Struthio camelus: one gene and its partners. The protein of the gene in region 1 purifies or fractionates together with the protein of each later gene. This does not show direct contact. Links are inferred from orthologs where the notes say so. Each region holds a gene or a part of one and is shown in the gene's direction. Other genes may lie near its edges.

Region 1 (7,351 bases):
TTTAGTTAAGGCAAAGAAACAGTTAGCTCTATAACTGGCAGCTGCTTGTTGTCTTCTAGTGACTTACCAACACCCTTGGGTGCACATGCTACAGAGGAGCTATCCCCCCCCCCAAGGGGATGCCATGCCAAAATCCTGCTCGAGAGCCAGCCCACCTCCTCACACCTCCAGGCCATCTGTGCCTGCAAGAGCAAGGGTGCACACTCCATCTGCTCCATCTCAGCCCTAAAGGCGAGAGGGGTGGCGGGAGAGGGGAGAGAAGAGAGGAATGAAAAGGGAAAGGGATACAGAGGCAGTCAAAGGGATGGGGTGGGGTGGGGGGAAGAGAGGAATGGAAAGGGAAGAAGGGTTTGAGAGGCAAAGGGATGGAGAGAGAAAGAGAGGGATGGGGAGCCAGATGGAGGGGAGAGGAAGACAGTGATAGTGAGCTGGGCAGGGGGATGGAAACAAGGAGGAGAGGAATGAAGACCCAGACAGATGGACAGGGAGCTGGACAGAGGGACAGAAAGAGAGGGATGGAGGGCCACACAGATGGACAAAGGGATGGACAGAGGGATGGGGAGCAGGAGAAGAGGGATATCGAGGTGAACAGCGGTACAGAACAAGGAAAAGTGGGAAGGGGTGCCAGATAGAAGGATGGAGCAAAGACAAGACGGTTGGGGAGACAGACTGAGGGAGAGAGTGATAGGGTGGAAAAGAGAGGTGAACAGAACAGCAGCACGGCAAGAGAATAAGAAGGATGGGGAGCCAGAGAGAGTTACAGGGCACCAAACAAAAGGGCTGGGAGTGAAGGAGGGGAGGGGGGGAGACAGGGAGCTGGACAGTGACAGGGAGAGGAAGAAAAGGTGGAGAGTTGGATTTGGGTCATTTGGGCATTAGGAGGAGCTTTGGGCAGGGTTTTTGGAGTATTTGGGGTCTGTGGGGTCACCACAGTCACACTGCGGGCAGCAAGAGGGACCCCAATACAGCATGAGCTACGTTGACATCCAGCAGTGCCAGCAATGGAGCCGAGCGGGTTTTGGGCTGCCTGGCCAGGCCTTGCTGTTTCCCTTAATGGAATCTAACATCATTTGCATTAATTGAGAATAAATTGCAGTCAAGGGCTAGCTTGTGCTTATCTTACTGGGATGGGAACATGGAGTGCTGTGACTCTACAAAACTCAAACAGGAGACTGAGTCTGGCCAGGACAGTGAGAGACATGGGATGCTTTCTCACTACTGCAGACTAACAGACAGCAGGAGTGGCCTGGATTACACACCCACAGCCCTGTGCCTGAGTCACCGACTCAGCAAAGAGGTGTTTGATGTTACTTGAGCCACAACAGGAATCAACAGGATTCTCCCTCTGCTGCTGATCGCCTCTGCCAAGCGTCATCCAGTCTTTGGCACCTGTAACATTGAACAAGACACACAATTAAGACCTTCAGCCTGCTCTGCCATACGTGTATTCTCCAGTAAAACTGTATGTTTGGAATTTCCCCATCGCTATCCAGTTATTTGCATAACAAAATGTCACTCAGTTACATACAAGACTTTAATATTTCTTCTATGCATCTGTCTTCCTGCTTCTCCAATTACAACTCCCAAGTAATTAACCTGGGGTGGCAGTAATTGTGTCTTATTCAAATTGAACTTTTACAACTTTTCTCACGCTTCTTCTGTAGCTCCAGTCACAGGAATATAACTCAGTCAAGACCCCACACAGCAGTCTGTAGAACCAACAGCTTACATCACAACCCTGTTTCACCTTAATGGACACTCACTTTGTTCTTTCACACAGACAGGTACCAGCTGATCCTAGCTGATCCTGCTACTGGAAAAAAACAAACTCAGAAATCACTTCATTCTGCACAGTAAGCCTCTTCCCTCAACCAATTCTTGCCCCCTAGATTTTTCTGGCCTTTGCATTAGCATCTCTTGCCGATAACTCCACCCTTTGGCCCATTCTTCCCACGCAAACATCCTCACTCCCGAGAAACAAGCTCCTTTCTGTCCATATTCCCTGCCATGCCTCCCATGCAGCTTCCCACACTTTGCTGAACTCATCCCAGGGTTTCCAACAGAGTCACTGTTCCCTCAATATACCCACAAGCACACTGGTGAAAATCAGGGGCACAACCTGGAAACTCCATCAGTCAGCTGTGACCGACAGTTCTACTCCTATCTTCAGCTCGCCTCCTACTGCAAAAGAAACAAGGCCAAGACTGGAGGAAAAAAAGACATTTCTTTAATGCATTACATACAGCCTCCTGTCCATTTCCATTTCCATACTAGCACCGCAGCTTCCTCCGCATGCACAAAGTTGTTTACCTAAGCAGGAACCAACGCAGCTTGCATTTTCATGAACACAAGTAGAGCCCCTTGCCTCTGCCATTGCGCCCTAAACCTTCACTGCCTTATGTAACTTGACGCGACCCAAGCAATTCACAATTCACACCTCAACCTGTACATGTGCTTCATTACCCCAACTAACAGAGCTCTGTTTCCTTCCCTGTCTCTGGTTGTCGGCCTCACTTGACCTGACTGCATATGTGCTTCTGCTACTAGTTCTGCCCAGACAGTCAGGACACCCGTAATGCCAAGGGCACACAGAGTGCTCCCCGATGCGTACAACAAGAAGGGCACTACTCTGCTTTTATCCGTTCTAGCACGTACCACACAGCATAGTTTTTCCTCTTGGCGTAGGACGTCGCGGGGAACCACGATCATCTCAGCACTGCCACGGGCCAAAACCCAGAGATCCCATGCATGATAGAGAGACGGCTCAGTAAAAAGATTCCTTCTAGTTTTGAGTCTGCAGTGTTCTACAAGCACTCCCTGAGCAAAACTGACACGTACTTGCACATGATTTCCATAGGCACTAACCACCTTGTTCTTCCTATCAGGGAATAAAAAACGCTCATTTTTTTCTCCGTATTATCTCCATATTTCTCCATAGCACATTATCCCAGCTGCCCTCACCTAGCCCTAACCTTCACCTGCTCACAACCCAGCCATCCTATGAGGCCATGCTCCCTTTCCACCGCACATGACAGGACAATCCCCAGGTCACCCAGATGACTCTCTGTGACAACACATCCTGACTAGAAACCAATTGTTCTGGTATTCGATCATTCTCTATGAAGCAGGACCCAGACTTTGCTCGTGCAGGGAAAGGCACCGTATACTCTGCCCTGCAACTGATGAGGCAAGATGGTGCCGAGAGCTGCCTAATGCATGCATCCTCTGACTCTACTGCTCACTGTGCACTTACACTGCAGGCTCTTAACAACTAAAACACAGGTAGCCATCTAGACTAGTCCTGCTGCTCAGCTCCACTTCTCATCTCTGAGCAGCATACTGCAGCTCTTGCTAGACAGGCAGCTGCAGCTTAGGCCTGGCACACAACTCAGGCATCACTGCCCACGCAGTTGGGACCTGCCGCACCACCCAGGCAGAATGAACCCAAAAACCCTGCAATTCAGTAATATTAGTGGCAGGAAGCAAGTGTCTCCAAGATACAGGCTTTACAGTTTGCTCAGTTACAGGAGAGGGAAAAATTCTCCCTTGCCATTGCACATGGACAGTATATGAAACAACTGTAGTAGGTAGTCAGAGGCAGTCAGAGACTCTTTGCCAAGAAACCTACTAACCGTTACTTTCCATCCCTCTGCCACCCCACACCTCCAGCACATACACCATCCTTAGCACTCCCAGTGCTCTTACATCACAGTCCACTGTCATCTGCAGCCCAGCCATGCTCATTCAGCAGCCCCTGTGCTCACACCAGGGGCTGGCTTCACAGTCTATCTCTTCACTTGCAAATGCAGCTCCCTAGGTGCCATCAGACAAGGCTACTTCTTGATTCATCCAATTTAATAGGACCACTGGCCAGTCAAAAGCAGTGCTTTCAAGCAGCATTGCTGCAAGAAAACGAGAAAATAGGCCTACAGAAACACACTCTCCCACCACTCGTCTCCCACACCCGCACAGACACAGGTGGTTCTCCCCACTCAAGTCACCCTCTACCCCCCAGAAGGCCACAGAAGTGGTCCAGACACTGTTCACAAGCAGGGATGACTCAGATCGCCGTTTCACCACTGAAGTTGGCAGGGCCTGATGGACATGACTCAGACTTTGCTCTAGACACCGCACAGTCACACCAATACTCCTCGGAACCCAGTTCAGCACAGCCGGACTGCCACCTCCACCGCAGAGCCTCCCACGTCTTTACGGAAGAGGGACGCGGCAGGCCGCGGGCCGCTCCCTCCGTCCGGCACGGCCCGACGCAGGCCGCTGGGGCGGGGCGGCCGGCCCAGGGCGCGGCGCGATGCGATGCGGCGCGATGCGGCAGCAGCCAGTGGCGCCGCGAAAGACTCCCCGCGAAGGGGCCTCACGGCCGGCAGCGGCGGCCGAAAACAGCGCGGCAAAGACGCAGGGGGACACGTGACGCGGGCCGGCACCCGCGCGGCACGGCTCCTCGCGCGCGGCGGCGCCTCCGCCCTGCCTGCGGGCGCGCCCCACCCCCGTTGCTAGGGAAGTGAGGTCACGCAGTATGGCGGCTCTGGGCCGCAGGGGCTGAGGTGTCGGGGCTGTGGGGAATCCGCGTCCATCCTCCGGCGGAGCTGCGGCGCTGGTGCCGCCTGCCTCGCCACTGTCGCGCGGCGGGACCAAGGCCGCGATGGCATCAGGAACCGTAGGGCTGTGAGCCGGCAGAGCGCGAGCCGGTAGGGTGGACAGGGCAACCGGGCAGGATCGCGGACGGAGCGAGCTGCCGCTATGGAGCTGCGGGTCGGGAACCGGTACCGGCTGGGCCGGAAGATCGGGAGCGGTTCCTTTGGGGACATCTACCTGGGTAAGGAGGGCTTACCCGGGACATACTTGGCGGGTCTGTCGCTCTGTGGAGAGCTGCGTGAGCCGGGCCGGGCCGGGCCGGGCGCTGCTCGAGCTCCCGCCTGCACCCTGCCCCCCGCTGAGGTTGGGTCGGGGGCTGCTCCCGGGACCTCATTTCATTCTCGCTGGAGCACAGACCAAAAAATGCCTTTCGATATGAGGTACCTTGCCGCTGGTGCAGTAATAACTTAATTTTTCGTTGGCGTCATGTCCTAATTTAGACAGTGCGGAAATCGGGACTTCTGGATTATATGCCTGCCTCTTCCCATTGTTGTCTTGTGACCTTGGGCACCGTCAACCTGCTCATCTGTAAAACGTGGATAAGGATATCAATCCCTTCATCTGAAAAACCATTCAGAAAAATGTTTTGAAATAGAAACGTGACCCTCTGCAATAAATATAATTGCAGTGGACTAGGAGAAATTGCTGTCACAGGGAGGATTATGGTTTTCCAGTGAGGCCTAAACAAATGAGATAACTAAGGATGACTAGATTGGAGCTAAAAACATTTTAACCCCTTCATAGAATCAGCATAGTTCAGCTATCCTGTTGCTTGAATGTTGCCCTTACATCTTAATGCATACATCTTATTCTGCTACCGTGATTTCTATGTGACTGTAAAGTTTGCAGGACTAGGACTGTCTTTTCCTGTCTGTTTTTGTAGCTTTCCATCCTAGTGGTTCACTAACCATTTGATAAGCAGCGGTGTGTACAACAAGTTCTGAAACGTGTGTTTTTAAAACACTCCGTTCTACAAACCATCAAACCTTAGGAAGTCAGGTAAATCCAGACAAATGTAAATTTTATATACTGCCACATGAAAGTGAGCATTTTGCTTTTGAAAGTTGTGATAACTTTCAGAAGGCGCATCCAAAGACATGGAAAAAGACTTACAGGAGCCATGGTAGGTTATCTGCATATGTCTGGAGGGTAAAAAGAATTAGTCACTGGCTAATGCATGTAGTATATTAGGCAGTATACCTAGTACATGAGCTGTCTTTTTTTTTTTTTTTTCTAGACAACAGTGCTTTGTATTGCAGCACACAGTTGCCGTTCTGAAATAACGTTAGTGAAAGCTACTTGTTTACGTTACCCAGATACTGGTTATCCTTGATATAGAACATATGCCTGCTGGAAATTCTGTGTTTCTAGCAGAAAGCTTGTGGATTGTCTAGAGGCAGAGAACATCATTCTTTCTCTCTCTAAGGCTTATGTAAAAGACTGAAGACTGCTGTGAGAACAATGGTGATAAGGCTTATGCAAAATCTTTGTTGGCTACCTTTAGGGTTTTGGGTGGAGATTAAGACAACAGTTAAAATCTGAAAAATCTTAGCTGACCTGGGATACTCTTACCTCAGTTTTTGACTACTCAGGTAAATCCAGTCACATTTAAGTACGGTATATTCATACTTTAATTTGTAATCCAAATTAACTGATAAAAAGAAATCAGGCAACTCTGTTGTTACTGTCCTGTGTGCGGTAGCTAGATTGGAAACGATAGATATTTTGTTTGTCACTTTTATCTTCATGCGTAGAGCCTACACTAGAAAAATTGCACAGGAGATAATAGTTCTGTATTTATTAGTACAGAGCTACTGCCATACTGCATTTTGCACAAGAATTGCTCATCCTTAGATTTTATCCTCTTTGATCTCTGAGGAGTCAGTGTGGATTTGCTTTCGGGGCTTCCTGCAAATGTGATGATTGAGTCAGCAACTAGTAGAGAATTATGTGTCTGAGAGATCCAGCTAATAGTATATATTTCTTTTTCCAGGGGTAATTGCTGTTTCAAGAACTGAAATGTGGCAGTCTTTTATAGAGGCCCATTTTGTTTGCTTAACATAATCTATTAAAACAGAGGTTATTTTTAAAATCTGTGCTGTGTGTGATATGAAACATTTAAAACAAAAAAAAAATAAAGTTTACTCAGTTATTCAAACTGTACAGTAGGGCATAACTACATTAAAATAACTTTTTAAAGCCTCTCAGTTCTCATTAATTTTCTGAAGTACAAATGATTTCCAATATTCCTCATCAGATTTCAGGTTCCCAATTTAATTTTATGCTTAATTCCCCCCCCCCCCCGCCATTTTCCAGTCTTCCTGTAGTTTCTTTAATGAAGTTACAGGGGGTTGAAGACAGTCCATTGAGAAGAGACGGCTCTTTCTTTATGTCTTTTCTTTCAAATATAGAGCTAACCATTCCTGATTATCACACTTCTTTCATAATCTTTCCCATTCTCCCCTGCACCTCAAAATGTGTCTTCCGGAATTTGGAATGCCCCCTAATTGGTAGGGTCCTACCATTCTACCACAATAATCTTAGGCACTATTTTAAATACAAGAATAGACAAACCTAGTGAAAATAAAATTTAGGAATGTAATGTACCTGCATCTATTAAGATTACCCTCCAGTGGAAGATATGAAAGAGTAGCACGAATTACTAGAAATTCTAAATAGTACGAAACAAGGGGCACCA
Region 2 (7,887 bases), on another chromosome or scaffold:
ATGCCATTGGGAATTATGGAAATATTTAACTTCCCAAACACAGCCTGGAAAACAGATGGTAGTAATAACAGTTAAGCAATAATGGCATAATAGGCTAATGGGCCTAAGCGGTCACACAGGAGATAACCAACAATATTTTTCCTGAATAATCTCAGAACCAGTGAAAAGATGCAATTTTAAATTTTGTTTTGCTAAGTAAAGGAGACTTTATTCTATGTCTGATCATAAAAAAAAAAAACCTTCCTTTGAATTAAGTTCAGTTCTCTGCTGCCAGCGCTGAACAACAGTTTTAGCAATTTTGTCTTAAAGAAATTCCAGGATCCTTTCATATTCAAGTCCTTGAAATCCTGAATCTGACTAGTTGCACTCTCTCTTAATTTGTCAGGATTTCTCCTTTTTTTTAAAGTGAGCATTTTAGATACAGACCTGTTTTTATTTGTCTTTACATTTAATTGAAACTGAATCAACATTCAAATGAAGGTTATGATGTTAGATAAATAAAAACCAACGATACTGCCAAAAGCAACTTGGAAAGTATCAAACAGGATTACAGAGCTCTGGAGACAGTGGTCAGGGGTGTGGGGGCCCAGGTCGTTTTCTCCACAATCATGCCAGTGAGGGGAAAGGATGGGAGGAGGAGTAGATGGATACTGATGGCAAGTAAACAACTGGCTGGTGTCGGCAACAGGGTTTTGGTTTCTGTGACTACCGGACCCTGTTTGATGATCTACAACTGACTGGGAGAGATGGGGGTCCACCTCACTAAACAGGGCACATGCATCTTTGCCAACAGGCTGGCCGACCTGGTAAGGAGGGCTTTAAACTAGGAAAGACAGGGAAAGGGGAGAGTTATAGAGACCATGCAGTCAGCAAAACAGGGCTCATGTGGGGATACCTCAAGCGTTTGAGGCACACAAGGAAGTGCCTACAAGACAAGACTATGGGGAAACCTCTTGCACCCCTTCTGGAAAATCAGCATGCTCAAATATCTCTCTGAAGTGCCTGTACACCAATGCATGCAGCATGGAGAATAAACAGGAAGAATGAGAGATCTGTGTGCAGTCGCAGGGCTATGATCTCAGTGCGATTACAGAGACACGGTGGGATAGCTCGCATGACTGGAATGTTGTCAAGAATGGCTACATGCTCTTTAGGAAGGACAGGCCAGGAAGGAGAGGAGGGGGAGTCGCCTTTTACGTGAGAGAGCACCTGGAATGTATTGAGCTCTGCCTAGGGATGGGCGATGAGCTTATGGGTTGAGAGCTTATGGGTAAGGATTAAGGATCAGACTAACATGGGTGACACTGTTGTGTTGGCTACAGGCCACCTGATCAGGAAGTGGAAGTAGATGAGGCCTTCTACAGACAGCTGGAAGTAGCCTCACGATCACAGGCCCTGGTTCTCATGGGGGACTTTAACCACACTGATATCTGCTGGAGGAACAACACAGCAAGGCACAAGCAATCCAGGAGGTTCCTGGAGACCATTCATGATAACTTTCTGACACAGACAATGGAGGAGCCAATGAGGAGAGGCGTGCTGCTGGACCTTATACTAACAGACAAGGAAGGGCTGGTTGGAAATGTGAAGGTTGGGGGCAGCCTTGGCTGCAGTGACCAGGAGATGGTGGAGTTTAGGATCCTGTGAGGAGGGAGCAGGGCAGCAAGTAGGATCACAACCCTGGACTTCAGGAGAGCCACCTCTGGCCTCTTCAGGGACCTTCTTGGAAGAATCCCATGGGATCGGGCCCTAGAAGGAAGAGGGGTCCAAGAGAGCTGGTTCATATTCAAGGATCATCTCCTCCAAGCTCAAGAACGGTGCATCCCAATGAGCAAGAAGTCCAGCAAAGTGGGCAGGAGACCTGCATGGATGAACAAGGAGCTCCTGGCAAACCCCAAACAGAAGAAGGAAGCGTACAAGAGGGGGAAACAGGGGCAGGCCACGTGGGATGAATACAGGCACGTCGTCCAAGTATGCAGGGATGCAACTAGGAAGGCCAAGGCCCATTTGGAATTAGATCTGGCAAGGGATGTCAAGGACAACAAGAAGGGCTGCTTCAATTACATCAGGAACAAAAGGAAGACTAGGGAAAAATGTGGGCTCGCTACTGAGTGAGTCAGAGTCCGCGGTGATGAAGGATACAGAGAAGGCAGAGATACTGAACGCCTTCTTTGCTTCAGTCTTTATCGCTAAGACCAGCCCTCAGGAATCTCAGACCCTAGAGACCAGGGAGAAAGTCTGGAGAAAGGAAGACTTTCCCTTGGTCGAGGAGGATTGGGCTAGAGATCATTTAGGCGAACTTGACACCCACAAGTCCATGGGCCCGGATGGGGATACACCCACGAGTGCTGAGGGAGCTGTACACTTCCTTGGCTGAAGGTACACACCTACAACTGGAGCAATCAGGGTAGTTTAGATATATTATCACACTCTCAGACATAAGCTGCAATAAAGGAAATTCCAGTTAGAGCTTAGAAAAAAAATTCACCATGAGGGTGGTCAAGCAGTGGAATAGGAGCCCAAAGAGGCTGTGGGATCTCCATCCTCAGATATACTCAAAAACCCAACCAGACAAGGCCTTGGGCAACTTGACCTATCTGGTCACATTGAATGGGGGCACTGGATTAGATGACTCCCAGAAGTCCCTTCCAATCTAAGTTATTCTATGACTGTATTCTGTGATTTCTTTCTGAAGTTAAACTCTCAGGTAATAGCAACAATGACTAATACTTTTTCCTGTGTTTGATTATCTAGAGGATTCCATCCCATCCCAGTGGATGATGACTTGACCACAATTATTCAGGCTTTTGAACAACTGCACGAACCAATCAGGCCTTAGAGACTAACTTCACAGAATACAACAGAATATTTCCTTAGCAATGTGTTAACCACAAGAACATCAAACTGGCCAAGTACTCTTTGCACTGTCTTCTCTTGGATAAACACCAAATTCTAAGCTGTGTTCCTTACCTTCAAGGTGTGCACACAGAACATACAAAAATCACCTGATATTCTAGGTTGTGATAGAGACTGTCATAACCATCCCAGTGGCACAGCAGCACTTTCTATCAGAGCACAAATTTGCTTATTCCTACTTATATTTCAAAACACACTTCTTTGATCTTGCCTTTTCTAACAAAGTTAGCAACCTCCAGATTGTAAACAAGAACAGAACATAAAAGCCCTATCAAAGAAAATATTCTAGGATATACACAATTATAGCCATGAGCAGAGGAAGAGAAAAGAATAAGACACAGTAGAGAATTCATTCACACGATAATGTGCTACTGGAAAGCAGATACTTGAAGCTGAAATCACTGAAAGATTAGGAAATGACGGAATTAAGATGGTCTATCTGTATAGATGGCCATCCACTTTGCATTCCTTATATCCCCACTTGCTAGAGACTCTAAAAGGTGTGATTCCTGAAATCTTGAACTAAGCACTGAAAGCGAGTGGGCCATTTTAAATTTAATATTCCTGCTCCAGTTCCTTTCCTTCAAAATAGGGATAATCACACCATCACAGTCCAATTGAGTACTGAGAAGTTAATTAATATTTGCGAAGCATTCCAGTAGCATACTGATGAACAGCATGGCAACACCTACATGGAAGTTAATAACTCTGTTCAATGTGGTGTTTAAATGCATGTGGTGAATAATGCCCAGGGCAACACAGTAAAGGACGATTGAAAGCTGTGACATGATGCACATACTTTTGGGCAGAAATGAGAGACAACAGATTCATGACCCTTAGACAACCTTAATCTAGATTATTTTCCAAATTCTGAGGAACCCCCACCATGGCACCTTAATATTAAACTACGTTTTATAATACATATATTAACCTATCATACAGGTACATGAATAGATGGTAGGAAGCACCACTTGGGAGTGCAGCTCATGGGATGTGAGGGTATGCACTAGCTGTTCTGCATGTGCGTATTCGCTACACGCTGACAATACCACGCGTGCGGCAGGTCTTTCTGCAGTGCTTGTCCCTCAGCCACCAAACACCTAGACCCCCTCCTCCGCTGTCTCCTGCTGTAGGGTCTCTTCTGGTTGTCTGTGCAACTTTCAGCTGCAGGCAATCAGGTGCTACCGGCAGGATGAGCTCTGTGAGGCCGAGGGAGGCAGGGCCGCCGTGGCCCGGCAGGCAGCAGCGTGGCCCCCGCTGCGCCCATGACATGGCGCCCGCGCCGGCCCGCCCCGCGCTGCAGTGCCCGGGCCCGCCAGAACCGGGCTGCCCGGGCCTGAGTCACCGCCGCCGCCCTCGCAGCCGCCATCGGTCGGGCACCGCCCGGCACACCAGCAGCGCCCCGGCTGCCAGGCTGAATAAGATAGAACATGAAAGGCAAAGTAACAGGCGTTGCCGCGCCCGGGGCTGCGGGGAATCTCGCTTAACCCTTCTCTGCCTGTGCCAGCAGCCGGCCCCGGCCCCCTTGGGCTCAGGGCGAGGCCTGCTCCCTCCCCATGCCAGCAGGCCGCCGTGCCAGCCCGGCTGCTCCTCTGTCAGTGAGGCCAGGGTGTGAGCGACGGGCCATGGTGGGGAGCAGGGAGACGGAGGGACTGGGGTGCTACACCCTGAGATGCCCTTCGGCCACCTCGCCCCCCGGCAGAGGGAGGCCGTGGGCCCTGCGCCCCCAGGCGCTCCTGCTGCCATGCTGCCACTGCCCAGTTAGCCAGGCCAAACCGCAGGCAGAGCAGACCCTAGAGTCCCTGCCGAGCCCACTCCTCCTTCCCAAGGTGGCTGCTGGGCTGCGCGGCGCCTGGGCCAAGGAGGCGACAGGGTCTGCGCCCCGTCGCCAGTGCTGGGCCGCGCTCCCCGGCCTGCTCCGCGAGCCAGGCCCGAGCTGGTCTGACAGGCTCAGCGCAGACGGAAGGGGAGAGGCAGCCTGCGGCTCAGGAATGTGCAGCCCTTATCTCTCGCTCCCCTGCAATCCTGGGGAGGGAACAACTCTCCAGAGTTTGCCTTTCTCTCGCTCTTACTCACCCTCTGCCCTGGGTGGAGCTTGAGTCTCGCTGGCTAGGAGGTGCCTGTGAATCAGGCAGCACGTCCAGGGGAGCGGAGAGCCGAGAGCACGACCCACCACCTGCCCTGGCTCACCTGGGAAGGTAGGAGAAGTGCAGGCACCCCCTGGGGTACGTGAGTGGCCACATGGGGCAGCAGGCAGGGGCTGGGGAGGCCTTGTCCTGACCCCTCTGCACAGGTCTGGGCGCTCGGGATCTGGGGCTGGGACTCTGCAAGCGGTCTGGGACAGGAGATGGCGAGATGGCTGCTGCTGCAAGGGGGAAAAGCTCTGGCAGCAGGAGCTGCCAGCCATGCCTTGACTGCCCTGGTGTGACAGGGTGAGTCCCAGGAGGAGATGGCAGAGGCAAGGGCGGAGGGAGCATGTCATAGCAGAGATGGCAGGCATCGTGGCTGGCGAGGGAAGAGACCTGTCAGCCTTCAGGTAGCCTGAGCAGAACCGCTCAGTGAGCACTTCACCAAACCTGTGTCCATGTCCTTTGAAAAAGCCCCGAGGAGTGGCTATTTCCTAACTTATCCCTGTCCTTGGGAGGAGATCAGACAGCCTGACTCTGCATCCCAAGTTAGAGTCGGAGCTGGCCTTCTCCTTGAGTAGGAAACACTGTAGGGACATCTGCTCAGGAGGTTGGGACAAAGAGGACTTCACTGGTGGTAGGGCTGGAAAGGCCAAGGCATGAGGTAGGCAAGGAGACAGGAAACAGCTACTGAGGCCCACTGCTCGTTTACTTGCATTGACCTCGCTCCACATGCATGGGTGTGTAGTTGCCTGCTGACATGGCCTGCAAGCAGCGACACAGACATTCGTGTGCGTACATGCAAAAGCACAGACAGATGCGCATGGACACATGCATGCACAGGCACACACGCATATACTCACTACCTTTTTTCCACAGATATGAGCCTGTCTGATAGAGCTTAGGTTTTCTATGTGCACAGAGAGGAAGGGGAAGGTCTTGTGTTCCTGGCACTCTAAATTGATTAAGGTCAATGGAGTTCAACTGTGGCTTTTGCCTGGCCCGAGGACCAAGCTTCTCAATTTTCTGAAACAGTTAGAGGGAGAGGAGGTGCTTGGAGAGGAACAGCAGTATTTACAGTGACATTCTTCTGCTGAAAACATTTAATTCATGAAAGCTGCAATAAGCTCAGCTGTGATAGAGGCCAAAGATAAATGAGTAACTGCTTTAAGCAACAAACTAGCTCCAAAGCAGAGTAGTGACAAATACAGTGCAGAACACTGGTGGCCCCAGATTTCTTGGCATAGCCTACAATAATATGTGTATTCATTGGACAAGGAGTAAAATAGCAAGCAGACAGAAAAACCATAGCATGCCTTCACCATGTTACAGGTCTACAGGACTTCAGGGTGGGGGAAGAAAGATTTTTTTCCCGTGTGCTCCCCTTTATCTGAGGGGCTTTAGAAAATTGTATTTGAGAGACCAAGAGCTGTATTTGCTGTCACCTGGCAGGGGAAATGGTGATATTCGGTGGGGAACAAAAGTTACAATAACTGTGTGGTTGTAGAGAAAATCGCATATCAAAGTAAAAAATGAAAATGCCACGCACCGCAGTCTGGTCTGATTGTGCCAGGGCATTGTCATGGCTCAGGACAGAGGCATCTATGTTCTCTACCTCATTTTTCACGTAGTCACAACTTTCTAAGCAACTAAAATCCACGTCAAAATCTTGCAGGATTGGACTTCTTTGTATTTTATGGGTAAATGGAACACTTTTCAACTGCTTATCAGACCCCATTTGGCAGGATTATCATAGCCCTAATGAAGGAGTTCCATGAGTGGCTTTCTACAATGTAATTGGGGATGGGGGCGGAGGGTAAAAGGCCAAGGGCAGCACGCAGTGGGGAATTTCCTTCTGCAAACTATACCTTACATTGGTGGACCTTTTCTTGCAGTTCTCTTATGGACTTCCTTATACCTCCTCTTTAGTAGATATAAATCCAATGAAGGGGATTGATTGAAATAGGGTAAGCTTTGCATGAGTGTTGTTATCTCTTTAGGTAATCTGCTTTCTGTAGAGGCCCCTTTTGCATGCAGAATCTAATTTCCCCAGTTTTCAGTGTGCAGAAAGTAACTAGCTGTAAACATCAGGTTTTGCCCTAGTGGCTGTCTGCCTCCTGGATTTGCGCATGCCACTGCATACTCTTTATTGCATAAGACAGTTAGGATTGACATGCTGTCTCAACAACCACTTCAAAAGGAAAATTACGACATGTAATTTTTCTGCTACTTTTCTCTTCCTCTGGCCTGTAGGTAGATCCCTGGACATTCTAAATATCTGGGTAATTTCCTGATTCTCCAGCAAATAACATTTTGCGGGATCCTTTGCACTGACTAAAAAGCAGACGTAAGTGGGAGTCCAGCAGGGGTTCTGATGTGCTGACTAGGCTCCCAGTTCTGCTCTGCTGCATGCCTATAGTATTCAGTACATTCACTGCTCCCCTTGGACCCTGAAAGAGTTTATTATACCAGTCCATAGGGTTAGCTGGCAAATGCACGTAATATGGAAGATAAAATGGTAATCTGTTGGATGCTCAGTGATTGACGTGATTACATGAATTCAAGTAATTTCTCATCTGATGACCATGACTTCAGATAGAATGAAACTCCTAGACTACAGCAGGCAGATATATCCTTTTTTTAAATGATGGCTGTGATTCGTGCAAAACCATCTAGAGTGAAGAATGGGACAGCCTTCACTCAGATGCTCTAACTTAGGGTGATCAGTAGAGGCTGATCAGATGACCAGAAGAGAAGGCTTTGGGTTGTTTATGTGACATTTTAACAGGAAAAACCAATTGCAATATTTTCATCTTTCAAACAGAAATTTTAATGGTAATCCAGG
Region 3 (7,835 bases), on another chromosome or scaffold:
TACTATAAGGTCATGTGATTCTTGTTTAATGGAGTAATCAAAGCAATCATTCTTGGAGTGCATTTACATGCTAGGTTTGAACGTTTGTAAATGAGATAATAGTCATGTTTTCCATCAGGGGTCCATAGGAGACATTAGTGAAGTCAAGCCATAGTTTCCAAGGTACTTGTTATTTGACAATATCATGACTTCAGTAACATATAAAAGTGCTATGAAGGTAATATTCCACTGGTAGCATATTAAGTATGCTGTAGGACACACAACCAATGGATATAATTTTCAAATGTGTATGGAGAATCAGACTTGACAGTTTTGTTCACAAAGGCAAGCAGCTATTTGCTGAGAACAGATATGACAAGCTATTCATCTTGTTGCTGCTAAGCCAAAGGGATTGCAACTATGATAACAAACTGTTAGATTTGATTGTTAGACTGCTTATGCAACGTTAGTAATGAAGGGTGTTTAAAACCACATCTCATTTGTTCTTGGGCAATCATATAGTATTTCCTATAATAATTTTCCTGGGGCACTTAAAAGGACAAGCCTAATTAAAGAACTGATATCTGTCTGGCTCAGCTGTAATGGGTGTAAGCACCCAAAGTATGTGTGTGTAGAGAAAAGGAGCAGACTTGCCTCTCCGTTCCTCTGCTTGCATGGATTGAGGCAATATGTCAAATGATATAGTCATGTCCTCACACCTTTCAGTTCCTCCGTGTAGGCTGGGCTATGCAGCTTCTAACGCTGCAAAGTCAATACAGCGTTAACCTCATATATGAGGCCCAAAGTGATAGCAGAGAAGAATAAAGCTAATGCCTTGCGCTGGATCTTGAACATAGCCAAATTCAAGCTGACAGGGAGAATGCAGTGATGGAGAGAAGACAACTGGGAGCCCTCTTACATAGAGCTGAGAACTTCAGGGAGTGGAGAAGGGAGTCGCTGGCTCATTTCTGGTTTCAACACGATAGCACTTGCGAGCCAGTTTAACTCTCCGCGCTCTCCTCTGCCATTAGCCCACAGTTCAGACAATACTGGAAAAACACTTTTTCCCAGCACACCTAAATACTTGCAGCGTTAACAGCCCCCAATAACACATTGCTCACAGACTGTCCAACTTTCCTACAGAAATCAAAGCTTATTAAGGAAAAATATACTGCCCCGCGTTCCAGTGCAGGTCCTCCAGTGGGACTACAGAGTCCTGCACCATCTTGTTTGTCAGAGCAGCTGGGCATTTTGGGAGACGGAAAGGAAAACTCAATCTGTTTTGGTGAAATACTGGTCAGAAAGTTTTGCTTAGTGTGTACATGCAGCTCAATGGTCCACAGTACCGGGCATATTCCACTGCAATGGCTAAAGCAGTTATTCTCTCCCGCCATCTGATGCCTATCTTGGCAGGTATAGCTGAGGTGGGATGAGTAGGCAGAACAGGCTACCTATCAGAAAATCATATTTATTTCTCGCTTGTGGATTCAACTGAGGAGTATACTAAAATGCTTGTTGTCAGTGTAGCTGCTGCAGGTTACAGCTTGGCACATTAACGCTGGCTGCTGCTGATTCCAGTTCACACCTCCTGGGCTTTACAGACTGAAGGGACTCAGGAGTAAATACATGCTACTATTCATCCCCATCCCAGCAGATGGGCAAGGTGGAAAGTTGCAGCAGTCAGTACTTCAGTTACCACAGTTAATTCAGCACAACTGCTGCTGTAATTCAGGCATGAGCCTGAATTTTGAAATGCATTTTGACCATTATACATAAGTTTACACAAGCAGGATAGATCCAGGACTCACTTCTTTGCGAATGGCATATTGATTGTCAAAATATAGCTGAAATTCTCTTTCAATGCAAGCAAGCAGGCTTTCGGTTTAGAAGCAGATGTGAGATGGAGCCTCACTGCTGATGGCACATTCAAACAGTGTGAGCAATAGTGACGCGTTATTCGAGGTGAACAGAGCTTGTCTTCAGTAATATTGTGCTTCATGAGAACATGACCTTGAGAACCAGTGTTAACACAATTTTACTGTAAATAGTATCAGCTATTTCTGAGTAAACTACAAATACTGTATTCTTGGGCTCTCTTGCAAGAATATGGATTTAGGAAGTGTGTTTTGCTCGGGGGAACAATGAAAAAAATTGGCAGCTATGATCAGTATGTGGCTTTTTAAAATTGTGTAGCTCATCAACTTCGAAAACTGCAAAATGTTTTACAGGACAGACAAGATTAATCCCTTTCATAATTACTTGTTCTTAGGTAAGTGTAAAAAAGAGTCAGACTGGAACTGGATAATTTTCTGTTCATCTCCAAAGGTTCTTAGCTTAGCTCCAGACAGCCCAACTTCTTATGCACAAGCTTTCTTTTACTCCTATTGAGTAGTCTTGTTAAAGTAGATGAGATTAATCAGGTATGTGCATGTTTATAGAATCAGATTCTCACCTTAGATATTATTTGTAAATCCAGAGCCACTTGGGATGCAGCATTTTAAAATGCAAAGGCCTGCGTACAAGAATAATGATTTAATATGTCCCCAAATGTTGTTCTATGGCCAGGGTGCTGGTTTTTATTAACAGGATTTGGAACATGGTGAAGTCCGTAGGTGTTCATGATCAGCTAAGATCTTTGTTTTGCTGAGCAGCTGGGAGGTCTCTCGTCGCTGCTTTAATGAGCTGGTCATCTGTCTGAGACAGTGGCTAGGTTGTCATTGATCTTGATGGTGAGACTGAAGATCACATTTTAATAGCTGTATCAAAATTAAAAGGTGAGACATTAATTGTGTTATCCTATGTTTCTTCCCAGAGGCAGCAGCTGTGCAGTGTGGCATAATTTAATAAAGCTATCCATCATGTGATGCAAGGGAGTGAAAACGTTACAAGTTAGTAGTGTAAGAAACAGCTTGATAGCTTTTGTTTCATCAGCAAGGACACAACAGAAGGGCTGTACACATATCTAGATTTTAAAAATGTTTGCATAATGAACCGGAATTAAAATATTGTGAAGCCTCTGTTTTGACCAGGGACTCTTTTGGCCAGGACAGACCATCTAATTTGTCATGCCGATGGAGATGAGCTACATTAGGCTACTCCTCCAGTCTCAAGAATGACACACAAAACGCTGGCACCTGCTCTAACGGCGGCACATGAGGAGACATGTCTGTGTATAAAATGTATGGCAAACGTACCTCCTACTGTGTGACTGGCACTCCCTTCAGCATCGGGTGTGGGGCTGGTGTGTGGACTTCTGCCCCAGTGAATAATGTAGTGAGCAGGTCTTGGTAATGCCTTGGATGCATGATGTAGCTTATGTCTCTAGCACACTGGCTTCATTTAAAGCTGCCTGACAGCTCGGGCAGGCTTCTCTATGTTATTTTCTATTTTCTGACTTTTTTCCTTAAACTCAGGAGGCTATCAATCCCATTTCCTTATTGTCTTTGTAAATAAAAAATGAAAGAAACGTATTTTTCCCCTCAAGATGACTACAGCAATCAAGGTTCTAGACACAGTTTTTTTGCCCTTCTCCAATTCAGCCATGCTGATACGTGCAGAGAGCAGAGGTTCCTTTCCAGCCACGTCACAGAGCCCAAGTGCTGCGTGCTCCCTTCTTCCCCACACTCCACACGCATACGCCTTGCAGCAGGCATCTCACAGGCCTTACAGACAATTTCTGGCTAACAGCTATCTGCACCAATATATCGATCGCCTGTTGCTTTAGGGTCCATGCCACATCAAAGTGACTTTGCCTGGTGCCAAGGAGCTCACCAGTAATGCATGGCCTTGACAACCCTGGGACAGTCCAGCTTCGTTTCATCTTCAGCTTCTTAAATGGTCACTTGTAGGTGGTCCTGCAGGCTGAACAACTTTACTTGTTCCCCTTCTATATGGATAGCTGAAGTCTAACTACCTTTTGGGGAAGTCCTTGAACAAGAGTTTATGTCTTTACTAAGGGAGCAGTGAGCAAGGGAGATCGCTCCCCTTTCCACTGTTGTAACTGGCGTGAAGGGATAGCAAGTGTTGACCTGAGTACCTGGATTGAGGAGCTGAAATCAGGCTGGGGGAGGTTAGAGGACGTTTGTGGAAAGAACACTGAAAAGATCTGCTTGCAAAAAAGGGAATTCAAGCCATCAGCGGGCAACTGGATGTGTAAATCATCTGGCGAATGAGTGGCAACGTGTGAAAGAAAATGTATGAACTAACACTGAGCACGGGATAAAGGTGGAGCTGAAATTCATTCTTTATAGTTCAGGTTGCTGCAAAGTGCGGAATGCTAAGAAGCCAGCCTTCACGCTCTCTTCTACCCGCCGCAATAAAAAAATTTAATTTAACAGAGGAGTCAGCAGCCATCTCCTCAGGCATAAACAGGCACCTGAGACAGTGCGTGTAGGCTGACTTCAGCGCTGCATCCGCAGCAGCCTTTGGCACCGGTGAGCGAGGTTTGCATCACAGATCCCAATTACCCTCAGCGGAGCTGCCTCGTGTTTTCCAGGGCCGTAAGAACAGCCTTGCCGAGGCGAAAGGGCGCTGCCGGCAGCAGCCCAGCCCAGCCCAGCCTTGCTCTCCCGGGCACGCGTTTCTCGAACAAAGGCAGCTCGCCTGTGCACGCTGCAGGCACGGGAGGGCCGAGCCCAGCGGGTGGCAGCGAGCCCCAGCCCGGGCCGCGCCGCCGTCCGAGCGCCGTGCGGGCGGCCCGGCCCGGTCCAGCTCGGCTCGGCTCGGCTCCCGCGGCGGCGTGCCGGCAGGAAGCGCCGGCTGCGCGGCGGGCGGCTGCCAGCCGGGCGGCTGCCCCCGCCTCCCCCCCCCGGGTCTCCTCCCTCCGCTGCCGAGCCTCCGCCTCCTCCTCCTCCTCCGGCGGCGGCGGCGGCTCGCTCGGCCCCGGCTCCCTGCTCTTCCCCGCGGCTTCGCCTCGCTGCCCTCCGAGCGGCTCCCGCGCCGGGCTGGCGAGGAAGGTAAGGGCGGCGGCGGCGGCGGCGGCGGCGGCGGCGGCGGCGGGGGGGGCCCGGGCTGGGCGCAGCGCGGCCCCGTCCCGCAGCCGTCCCCCCCCCCCGCCCGCCTCCCGGTGCGGCGCCGCATCCCCGCCGCTGCCGCGGGGGCGGGGAGGGGGCTCCCCCGGGAAGGGGCTGGGAGCGCGGCCGGGGCGAGGCGGGGTGCGGGGCCGGGGGGGGGGGGAGGGAGGCGGCCCCAGGCGCCCACCTGCGCCGGGCGGCGCTGCCGCTCTCGCCGTGGCGGAGGCGCGCGGGGCGGCCGGCGTGGGCGCCGCCGGGCCGCGCAGGGGCCCGCGTAGGTGTCGGCGTGAAAACAGAGCCGACTGCTATCACTTCTGAACTTTGGAGAGGTGGCGGCGGCGGCGGCGGCTGCAGAAGGTCCCCAAGGTGAGGGCAGCCCCGCGGTCGGGTCGGCGGCGGGGTGGGCTGGCTGTTGAGAAATTCCCCCCCTCTGAAGTCAGGGGAAGGTGTATGGCCTAGGAGAGAGAAGCTGAACGTAGCAAGCCGTTTAGCCGCTCGGAGTTATTGTCCTGAGGCGAGGAGAAGCGTGAACTTCCTGCCGTCGGTGCCCTCTCGGCGGGCTGCGGGGCCGAGCACATGGCTCCTTCCGCGGGGTCGGGGTCGGGCGCGCGCCCCGCGCAGGGTCTGCGCGCAGCTGTCACTGCCCGGCGCGGAGTCGAGCCTGGCTGCGGCTGGGCTCCTGACCGCTTTAGTTTCCAAGCGATAATCTGGCCTAAAGAAAACTTTACACGAGGGAAGACTTATCCCAAGGGTATTTCACTTAAATGTCTTTTTTCCTTTTCTTTTTTTGTTTTGTTTTTTTTTTCCTCCTCCCACTCTCTCCCCTCCCCCCTCCCTTGTTCAGACAGGGCTGCGATGACTCTCTCAAATGAAGGGAAAGCAATGAAGTTGCTTAGTTGTACAGTGCTATAAAACGTACTTGAGTGTCTTATGTTCTGATGCACATGGGAGTTCATAGGACAGAGGAGAAGGTTACAACTTTCAAAGAGCTGGCACTGGTGAATTAACTTCTGTGCCATCAGAGCATTAACTTACTTACACTTGAATTCATGAGTAATGGTATGTTGTTCCCTACTATTGCTTTTATTTAGGGTCTGCAATTGTATTTGGATGTTTAAGACAAAATGAAACACCTCCTTTGTGCATAACATGATAGGACTGTTGTGTTTTGTAGGCAGGAAGATTATGTGTGGCTTTAATATAAACTCTTTATCATTTAGCTCTAAGTACTCATTCTGTCTGTCAATCTGTCCCTAATTTTCTGGGTGATTTTTGCAAAGGTCACGTCAGTTCAACTTCCATCTTCTGTAAAATGCCTATTTTGATTTAATATCGTATTGGGACAGATTTGGCATTTATGATTTATGGCATACGAGCTTGAATGTGTAATAAGAACCATGTTTTCTCAAACAACTTGTTCCTGGTTCTGTCTGTGGAGCCCAATTGTTGTTCTTGGTGTGCACCCACCGGGTACCACACAGCTTGACTTGTGTCTAATGCTGTGTCCTAATTATTAAAAAAATGCTTGGAGCTGTGAAAGGGTCAATGTAATCCATACCACACATTTGCACTAAACTGACCTGGAACTAACAGAATAAAACATTTACAAATGCTTTCAGAGTAAAGAAGTGCCATATTATTTATTTGCATCCAACTAATACAGTGAATAGCTTTTTCTGAAAATTGCAGAGCTTTTTGGTGCTGTCATCTTCTTTTTGGAGGATGGGTGAATAAAGCCCCGTTTCTGTAAATGTTTGGCTTGAGTTACTGAGACTGGTCATGAAAGCAGAAGGCACCAGCAGTGCCCTGCGTGCCCACCAGGAAGCCATGCTGACCATGGCCATGGGAGGGGGGCACAGAGATGGCCAGTGGGCCTTCAGGGTATACTGTAGTATACTTTGGGGAGGCAGGGCGGAGCTGCGTTCCCTGGCAAGGCAATCTTACATGGTGGTTTATTGCTTTCATTGCTATTTTGTGTGTCAATATTGAGTTTCCCCTTTGTGGGGTTTTGACCTCTTTGGGCAGGAGATAGCGGGCGGGTGCTGCGCTCTTCTCCTCGCAGCTCCTTCGTGTAGATGCAGATGTACTAGTAATAGATATATATATTTTTTAATATAACTTACTGTTTTGATGTAACTGGTTTGCTGGTATAACCAGCAAATACAGTCAGTTGTAAAATGGGTAAAATTGCCCTCGTGCAATTCACAATTTTCTCTACACAGATGTACTGTATTATAACTTAAAGCTAAGAAGTAAACAGTGTTTTGCAGGTTCATAGAGAGATCATTCACCGTCACCTTGCCAGAGTGGTGCTTTCTGTGTCCTACTTTAGTACTTAGCGCTTACAGTCTTGTGACGTGCTGGCAGTGTCCGATCCCAGGTTGTTGCTGGAGATGATTAGTACAGGTACGGTCTTGCTGTGGACATGAGGTGGTTTTTTGTTGATGTTCTTCTTGTGTTCTTCTCCAGACTTTGGAGAGGTAATACTTATTTAATGAGGCAAAAGAACTAGTCAACTGCTTCAAAAAATAGCTGCATTTATTCTAAAACATACATACATATAAAAGTGTCTTGCTTGCTCAAGGTTCCAGAAGCATATTTGACACACTGCTGGCAAACAAAAGGAAGTTATTGTGTTTTTTTTTTTTTTAGTGTGCTTTCATAGGTATGTTTCCAAGTGGTGGCATGATTAGATTGAAAAGCAGTACACTGAAATATCATAGAGAAAATTTTAGCCATTAATTGCAATGGAATGCTTAGTAACTGAGGCTTAAATTTACAGCCTGCACAGAATTAGACAGCGTAGCTTTGAACTGTGATTAAGGAATGTCTCTGGTCTCTCCG
Region 4 (7,012 bases), on another chromosome or scaffold:
GAAAATAACCCTATAGTAAGAAAAATGGCACTGCACTTTTTTGTTTCCCACTTCTTTGACAGCTTTAGATGGTGTAATAAATAGAAATACGACATCATTATTAAATAATGTAGTTCTAATAGAAATGGATTTGATTTATATTCCTTCTGTCTATCGATGCAATTCCAAAATGTACTTTTTAGTCAGTTTAGTCAGATGATCAGGAAATTCCCAGTAAAATGGGGCAGGCAAAATTTAATATTAATGAGAGTAAAAACAGAAAAATGACTGTTAAGAAACATTATAAACTACGAATTAGCTAGTCCAAGTTTTAGCACCTAAAAGAGAAGAGGAGGAAGCAGCCCAAGTCATTTTTTTTTCTTTCACAGACGATTCTGAAATATCTCAGTATTCTTTATTTAGGGTCACCAACTCTTTCTGTGCTGTCAACCTGATGCCATTTATGGGGCATCTCAGTAGGCCACATAAAGAATCACAAAATAGCAACCTCTTTTCTTCATGGGTAGACCGATGGCTCCTCGGGCCACTACCTGCATCTGCACCATTGTACTTGGACGCACCAGGACAGGTAGAAACATCCCCTAGGACAGACAGGACAGACAAACAGCAGTCTGCCAGTTCACTTTACCTATTAAAGGTACCCAATGTTAGCTAAGAGACATAGTGAAAGAGAAGCTTACAGGATTAGAAAACTTCTTTCAGTGAAAAAAGGGGAGTTCCTCACAGGTTTCCCCCCAAACCTCCTTGGGAGTTACCTCAGATTCTCTCACTTCCTGCAAACAGGCTGACCAACATACGTCCAAAAACTTCTCACCCCGCTGCCCTGGCCCATCTGATGGACAGGAGGCAGTTGGACACCCAAGTTCTGACATTGGAAAACAACATCTTTCAAGTACCAGGTCAGAACAGGAATCTTTCCAAAGTGGTGCTCAAAAGATTGGCTCAAGTTTATGAACAAAAAAGCCAGAAGTGATCTAATTTCATTATACAATACTTTTTATCTAGTGAAATCTCTAATTTCCTTGTTTTTCTCCTTGACTGCAGCCTCTGGGAATGGGATAGCCACTATCATCCTCTGCCTTTCCTCATCTTTCCTCATTTTTTTCTGAACTCTGTTTTGTTCTTCTAGGCCTTGATCCTGCTTCTATTGCAGAAAACAGCAAATCACACATAGCAGCACTGAAGCTAGACAAATACTTATAGTCTCTTTTATCAAGATACCATCTTGCGCAGGTAGATACATTTCCCGAGAATTTGCTGGAAGTCCTGGTATCTTTTCACTTGTGGCCAAACGATACAGAACCTTGTGTACCCTTTCCCCACTCTCCAGCTTAACATATATGCATTTCTGTTAGCTTTTAATGTATTTAGAATTACTCAAGAAAACAACAACACGAAAGAGCAAGATGTGCATATCACTGGATCTGCACTTTTTGTTTATAACCATCCTGCACGTTTCACTGAACTGCTGAGCTATTGAACAAACCAGGTTAGCTCGGGCAGTGGCTCTACACGGGCATTTGCAGCAGACGTGCCTTTGTTGCTTTGGTAGGCCCAGGTTCATTACTCACACTGTCTGCCTGTTACCCTGCAAACTCCTGGTGAACCACTCTCTCTTCCCTTTGTATTTTAAGGACCTCACGTAACTCTCTCCAGCTACTTTCATTTCATGCCACTCATTTCCTCTGTTAGAAAGACTGCTTCCCGCATGATCCTTTCCTCTTATTTTTCGTATTTTTTTTCTGCTGTGGGAAATAAATTATTCAGGGCGTCAACATACTTGCACTGGAACTGAGATGGAGGTAGTTACAATGAAATGCTAATAACTGCCAGGAAAATTACAGAGTTGTTCAGAGCCGTTAGGTCTGCCAAGCAGCTGCCAGCAGCACTACGTGTCTCCCCTACTCTTCTTCCAGTTTACTGATTTTCACCAAAATAAATAGGGCGTTGTTCTTCAATTCCCAACTTTCAGAAAACGTTCCTGCGTTGATTGGATGTGTCATTCAAAAGTAATCACGTAACAGACAAAGAAACGGAGCAATGTTTTTAAGTTGGATGCAGTGGCTTTTGATGCATGTTTAGGGTGTGCTTCAACATTACATTTTATCTGTTGGCACGTACCTCTGTTGTGTCAACGTAACTCCGTAGGGAGGCTGCGCTATAAATGAGATTGCTTCTATGAACACAGATTATTTCACTGAGCTGGCTTGCAGTGCAGTCTCACAAAAAGTTGTATCAGTAAAACTCATCACTCCCACAATTTTAGCAAAGGGACATACGTGTGTAGTGGTGATGAACAGGAACCCCATCAAGAAACTTAACACCAGAGAAATTGCGAGTTGGAAGCACATCCTTAATTAGTGATCACTGATGCCGTTAAGATGTTTCTATCCCTTACCTGTTTACTACCTTCTCTCAGTTACAGGGTAACATCTCACAGTTGGTGAATTTAAACTGCCGAAGAACAGTTAAAAATTCTGTTTTAGTATGAGCTGTGGAAGTGGTGACCTTCATCATAAGGGTAAAAACAGTCCGCACTGCTTCAACTGTTTGTGAAGTGTATACAAAAGTATGGGCTTTGATTCAAGAGTGAATATGGCATAGCTAGTGAGGTGATGGTTTATCTAAAACCACAGTAGATTCATGATTAACTCATGGGTATACTGGAGGCAGAACGGATAGCTAACTCATCATGTACTGCAGCCTCAAGGCCTTGATTAGCTCAGACAGATTTCAACTGAAATACTGCCACTGTAGTCTGAGTGATATTCAAGATTTTACTGTTTAGGCCCTGCTTCACATGAACCTACTTCACATGCCAGATATTGCTTTCTTCTCTGTTGTCAGCTGTATAACTGCACTGTACAGATTACATGCAGAATTTTAAGTTTTCATGAGGAACATAAAACTTAACAGGCACATCACAGACCTTTTAAAAAAAACAGATGAAGAGGCCTTTGTAAGAGCTTATTCATTATCTATATCAAAGCAATGCCTACAGGCACTGCCTATTGCACTTCACTGAAAAAAACATAGGCCCATGCTCTATTCCAGATCATCCACATGCCAAACCTTAAGGAATCTATTAATTTATGCACCTCAAGATGCAGGTCCAAGGCATTTGCTTGCAGGAACAACCCCTCAAGACATCAAATCTTTACGGGCTGTTGGGGAGGGCTATTTCTCTATAATCCATGTATAGAGAAGGGTTCTGGGCATGCAGAAAGCCAAAGATTTCCTTTACTATTTCCTTTATTATTAACTTTATTCTCACTTCCAAAACTGTGAACCTAAGCAGCACCTCACTCAAAAGCCAAACACTAAAGGTGTTTCTTTATTAACACATGGGAAAGGACACGTTTGCCACCACAGAGATTCACCCCCAACGTTCGCTTGCTGCAGTCTCTCACCAACACAACGACAAATTGCAGAAGGGGGCTTGGCTGGAGCCGCACAGCCAACGGCAGCAACACGTCTTTGGGATTCGTTTCATTACGGGTTACAGCCCCCCCCCCCCCAAACAAAGCAGCCTCCCTCAGGTTTTCTACCTCAGTAAGTTAAGCCAACGCGGCAGAAGGACCGGGAAGGCCTGTTTCTCTCCCTCCGCGTGAGGAAACGGCAGACACGGCTGCTGGACCTAGAAGGCTTTGCTGCCTCCACATCCCGCGCCTCCACCGCCCCGCCGCTCCTCGCTGCCCCCAGCCTTTCCCCTCCCACCGCCCATGGCAGCCCCGCCCAACCTCCCTAACGGCCGCCACCGCCCCGCCCCGCCTCGCCCGCCGCCTTTAACGGCTGCCCCCGCCCCGCCCTGCTCCAGCGCTCGCGCGCGCGCAAGAGCTGCCTCAGCCCCGCCCCCTCCCAAGTTCAGGCCCCCCCCCCCCCTTTCCCGCCCGCCCTCTCCTGGCAGAAGACGTGAAGCTCCGCCGGCTTCAAGCCCAACATCCGGCCCCGCCTCGGTGCTCCCACCAAACCGCTCCGCCCGGCGCTCTCGCAGAGCCGGAGGCGGCGGACGCTGGAGGCGAACACAGGCGCCGCAGAACCCGGAAGTGCCTGTGCGGCGGAGCCGGAGCGGAGGGGCAGCCCGCGCGGGGCTCCCGCGCCCCCGCCGCCGCGGTGAGGGGGCGGGCGGCGGCGGCGGCGAGGCTTCCTCGGGGGGTGGAGGGGAAGGGAGGCGCGGGGCGGGGGGAGTCCGCGGCGGGGCGGGGGTCGGGGGGGAGCGGTGTCAAACGGTAGCGTAGGTTCGCCTCGGGTTCTGGCGTGTTTTGGTTTGCCCCGAAGCAAGGGTGGCTTCAAGCTGAACGGCGTTTTTGCTAGGTGTATGTTACTCGAGGTGTAACGTCGGTGACATGTTTCTCAGGTGATGTTTTAGTGTGGCCCGCACTAGTTAAAAGTGGCAGGGCTTGTATGGATCTACCTGTAATAATTCTTAAATTTTATGTGAAAGCGTGGTAAACTGTCCTCTTGCTTCTGTGTTTCTGTTTTTTTTTCTTTTGATTATAAACATGCCTGTTACTAGCTCTAATATATATAAGCTGGAAATTAATGAATGCAAGTAGATCTGTTTTCGTCTTGAAATAGATATAGTCTTTATGTGTAGGTTTGTGTATATGTGTTTGCGCACATACTCTGTTTAGAAAGTGGAATTTGAAATATACTTTTTCATATTGCCAAACAATGTGACTGTTGCTTTATTGTAAATTATACTGACAGATTTGTAAGTAATATCTCAAAGGTTTTTTTTTGTTTTGTTTTGTTTCTTTTCCCTGGTGCTTTACCTGCAATACAGAAATCTTCCAGAATGCTGGAGTCCTATGTAACTCCTATTTTGATGAGTTATGTGAATCGCTACATAAAAAACTTAAAGCCTTCAGATCTACAGTTATCGCTCTGGGGAGGAGATGTTGTTCTTAGTAAACTGGAGTTAAAATTGGACGTACTTGAACAGGTATGATATGTTTACAGTTATGCAATATGTCTTTGATTTAAAAGAAGTTGACTAAATAATTTACATTGGTCTGCACAGATAAACATTCATTTATTACTCATGGTGTTTCTTCTTATGTAGATCTCTCTCTTTTTTTCCCCCCTTCTCATTTAGTTATTTTTGTGTTAATTCCATGCCATTTGTTTAATTATGAATGGTAATCTTTTGCATATTCTGCACGTTATGGAGCGTGAAGAGAAAGGCTTTACGTACACGTTTCTTCTTTCAGTGAGCATTGTTTTACAGTACAAACATTTAAATTGCTTTCCCAGTTTTATTTTACTAATTGCCTATAGTAACTAATTCAAAATGTAACAAACTGAAGTAGGACCTCTTTTAAATTATGCATACTAAACACAGATTCTTGTTCTATATAGTGTTTTATGACTCCAATTTTTATCATTCCAGTTGTGTCTAAACATAACAGTAGTCAAGTAGATAGTTTTTATCAGCTAATTTGCGTGAATTCATTCAGAGGCGCTGTAAAACTTAGCCTTAAAAAGAGAATGTTGACGAAATAAAACACCTGATATCAAATTTTGGAGCCTGTGGTTAATATGAACAGGGTAAGACTTACCTTGAGGGACTATTTCCTTCTATCCTTATCTGAGCTCATAGCTTGAGGAGTTGCGTGTGTGAGACAGATAAAGCTGTTCTCTACTGCACGTGGGACAGCGAGTCTTAGCTAGAGTCCTGGGTCCAGATGTAGTCCAACAGAAGGAGGTGCGAGAAATGCAACAAAAAGTAATAGGAGATTTAGACAATATGGCCTGTGAAAGAAGACTGAAAAAGACAATGATTGTGTTTTAATTTTGGATAAAATAAGGTGAGAATTTTTAAATGTATATGTCCTAGAATTAAAGAAGTGTTGAATGGAAGGAAGTTCTGGAGGTCACCTAGTCTGACCCCCTGCTCTGAGCAGGACTGCTGCCACCATTAGGTCAGGTCAGCTGTGGTTTTGTCAGCTTGAGTCTTGGAATCTCCTGCCTTGATTGTGAAAAATTCCTCTTTGGGTAAACTGTTCCAGTGCTGTAGTACGCTTCCAGGGAGAAAGTTTGTCCTAATAACAAATGGTGACTTGAAGATGAATGTATTAGGCTTGCTGTATTACCTGACCATACTAAAAGTTTGCCTGTGTCATCTGTGTAGTTGCCTTTCAAAAAGTTGCAGTCTGCTGCTTAGGTGCCCCCAGCCTCCTCTTTGCCTGCCTGTCTAATAATTGGGTATATAGATATCCAGTGCAGTGTATTGCTGTCTTAGCTCTTGTTATATGAAGCAAATCTTGCTTCACATACCTTTGTTCAACTCAAATTGGCTTGAATGGGGATGCGAGTATGTAGTGAATGCAAAGTTGAGCTCAACAAATTTCTTAAAAATATTGTTTAGCTAAGTGTTTATTTGAAATGCAGTGGTCTGAAGTTGGCATTTACAACACTTTGGAGCCTGCACTGGACCCACAGAGTGTTGTTAGGGTGTCTCTTGCAGAAGTGATGCTGCTTTATGCCTGCCTGACCAAACTCATTTTCAGTATGTTGTACATGGTAATGTTGCATCCCGCAGTCTTTGCGGCTGGCAGGGAACTTGCTTAAAATGCTAAAGTCTGTAGAAGTTACCAGTATACGTTACTTTATTTGGGTTGTCTACCTCTATGGAGCCAGGATATCCAAAGTTAGTCACTTTCCCTGTGATTATCTTTACTTTTAAAATCCTTTCTATCCTGACTCCCTGCTCTTTATCTGGTATGAATGCAGACTTAATTACATGAGTTAGTGATATCAAGGGCATATGCATTTGTGTCCAAAGCCTGTCTGGAGTTGTGAATATTTTTTGGAAGATTCCAGCCTTCTGTGGAGCTATACATGACTGTTTGGGAACATTAGCACAGCTGACAGATTACCGGGACAAAGCACCTTATATCAGATCTGGGAAGAGATCTGTGTTTTCTCCCCTGACTCCTTGCAGTTGCGCAGATGATGCTGGGGCGCCTGTTATCAGGCCAACCAGAATTCCAAAGTACACACAATGTTG

Evidence for each region.
Region 2: the proteins of CSNK1D (region 1) and FAM83H purify together in Homo sapiens (co-immunoprecipitation; 5 studies listed by BioGRID and IntAct, counting the BioPlex papers as one, with this or other methods). This does not show direct contact. The link is inferred for Struthio camelus from reciprocal best matches to the Homo sapiens genes CSNK1D and FAM83H.
Region 3: the proteins of CSNK1D (region 1) and FAM110B purify together in Homo sapiens (affinity purification with mass spectrometry; 3 studies listed by BioGRID and IntAct, counting the BioPlex papers as one, with this or other methods). This does not show direct contact. The link is inferred for Struthio camelus from reciprocal best matches to the Homo sapiens genes CSNK1D and FAM110B.
Region 4: the proteins of CSNK1D (region 1) and VPS13B purify together in Homo sapiens (affinity purification with mass spectrometry; 3 studies listed by BioGRID and IntAct, counting the BioPlex papers as one, with this or other methods). This does not show direct contact. The link is inferred for Struthio camelus from reciprocal best matches to the Homo sapiens genes CSNK1D and VPS13B.

What each region holds. Positions count from the first base shown.
Region 1 is NC_090960.1:59,053-66,403, forward strand, and holds the start of CSNK1D (casein kinase I), read left to right. Parts: upstream 1-4,343; 5' UTR 4,344-4,758; coding exon 4,759-4,834; intron 4,835-7,351. UniProt on the Homo sapiens protein: Essential serine/threonine-protein kinase that regulates diverse cellular growth and survival processes including Wnt signaling, DNA repair and circadian rhythms. It can phosphorylate a large number of proteins.
Region 2 is NC_090943.1:173,551,210-173,559,096, forward strand, and holds the start of FAM83H (protein FAM83H), read left to right. Parts: upstream 1-4,867; 5' UTR 4,868-5,114; intron 5,115-7,887. UniProt on the Homo sapiens protein: May play a major role in the structural organization and calcification of developing enamel. May play a role in keratin cytoskeleton disassembly by recruiting CSNK1A1 to keratin filaments. Thereby, it may regulate epithelial cell migration.
Region 3 is NC_090943.1:136,081,387-136,089,221, reverse strand, and holds the start of FAM110B (protein FAM110B), read left to right. Parts: upstream 1-4,817; 5' UTR 4,818-4,934; intron 4,935-5,179; exon of another isoform or gene 5,180-5,357; intron 5,358-5,840; exon of another isoform or gene 5,841-6,050; intron 6,051-7,835. UniProt on the Homo sapiens protein: May be involved in tumor progression.
Region 4 is NC_090943.1:147,101,150-147,108,161, reverse strand, and holds the start of VPS13B (intermembrane lipid transfer protein VPS13B), read left to right. Parts: upstream 1-3,993; 5' UTR 3,994-4,113; intron 4,114-4,786; 5' UTR 4,787-4,798; coding exon 4,799-4,945; intron 4,946-7,012. UniProt on the Homo sapiens protein: Mediates the transfer of lipids between membranes at organelle contact sites. Binds phosphatidylinositol 3-phosphate. Functions as a tethering factor in the slow endocytic recycling pathway, to assist traffic between early and recycling endosomes.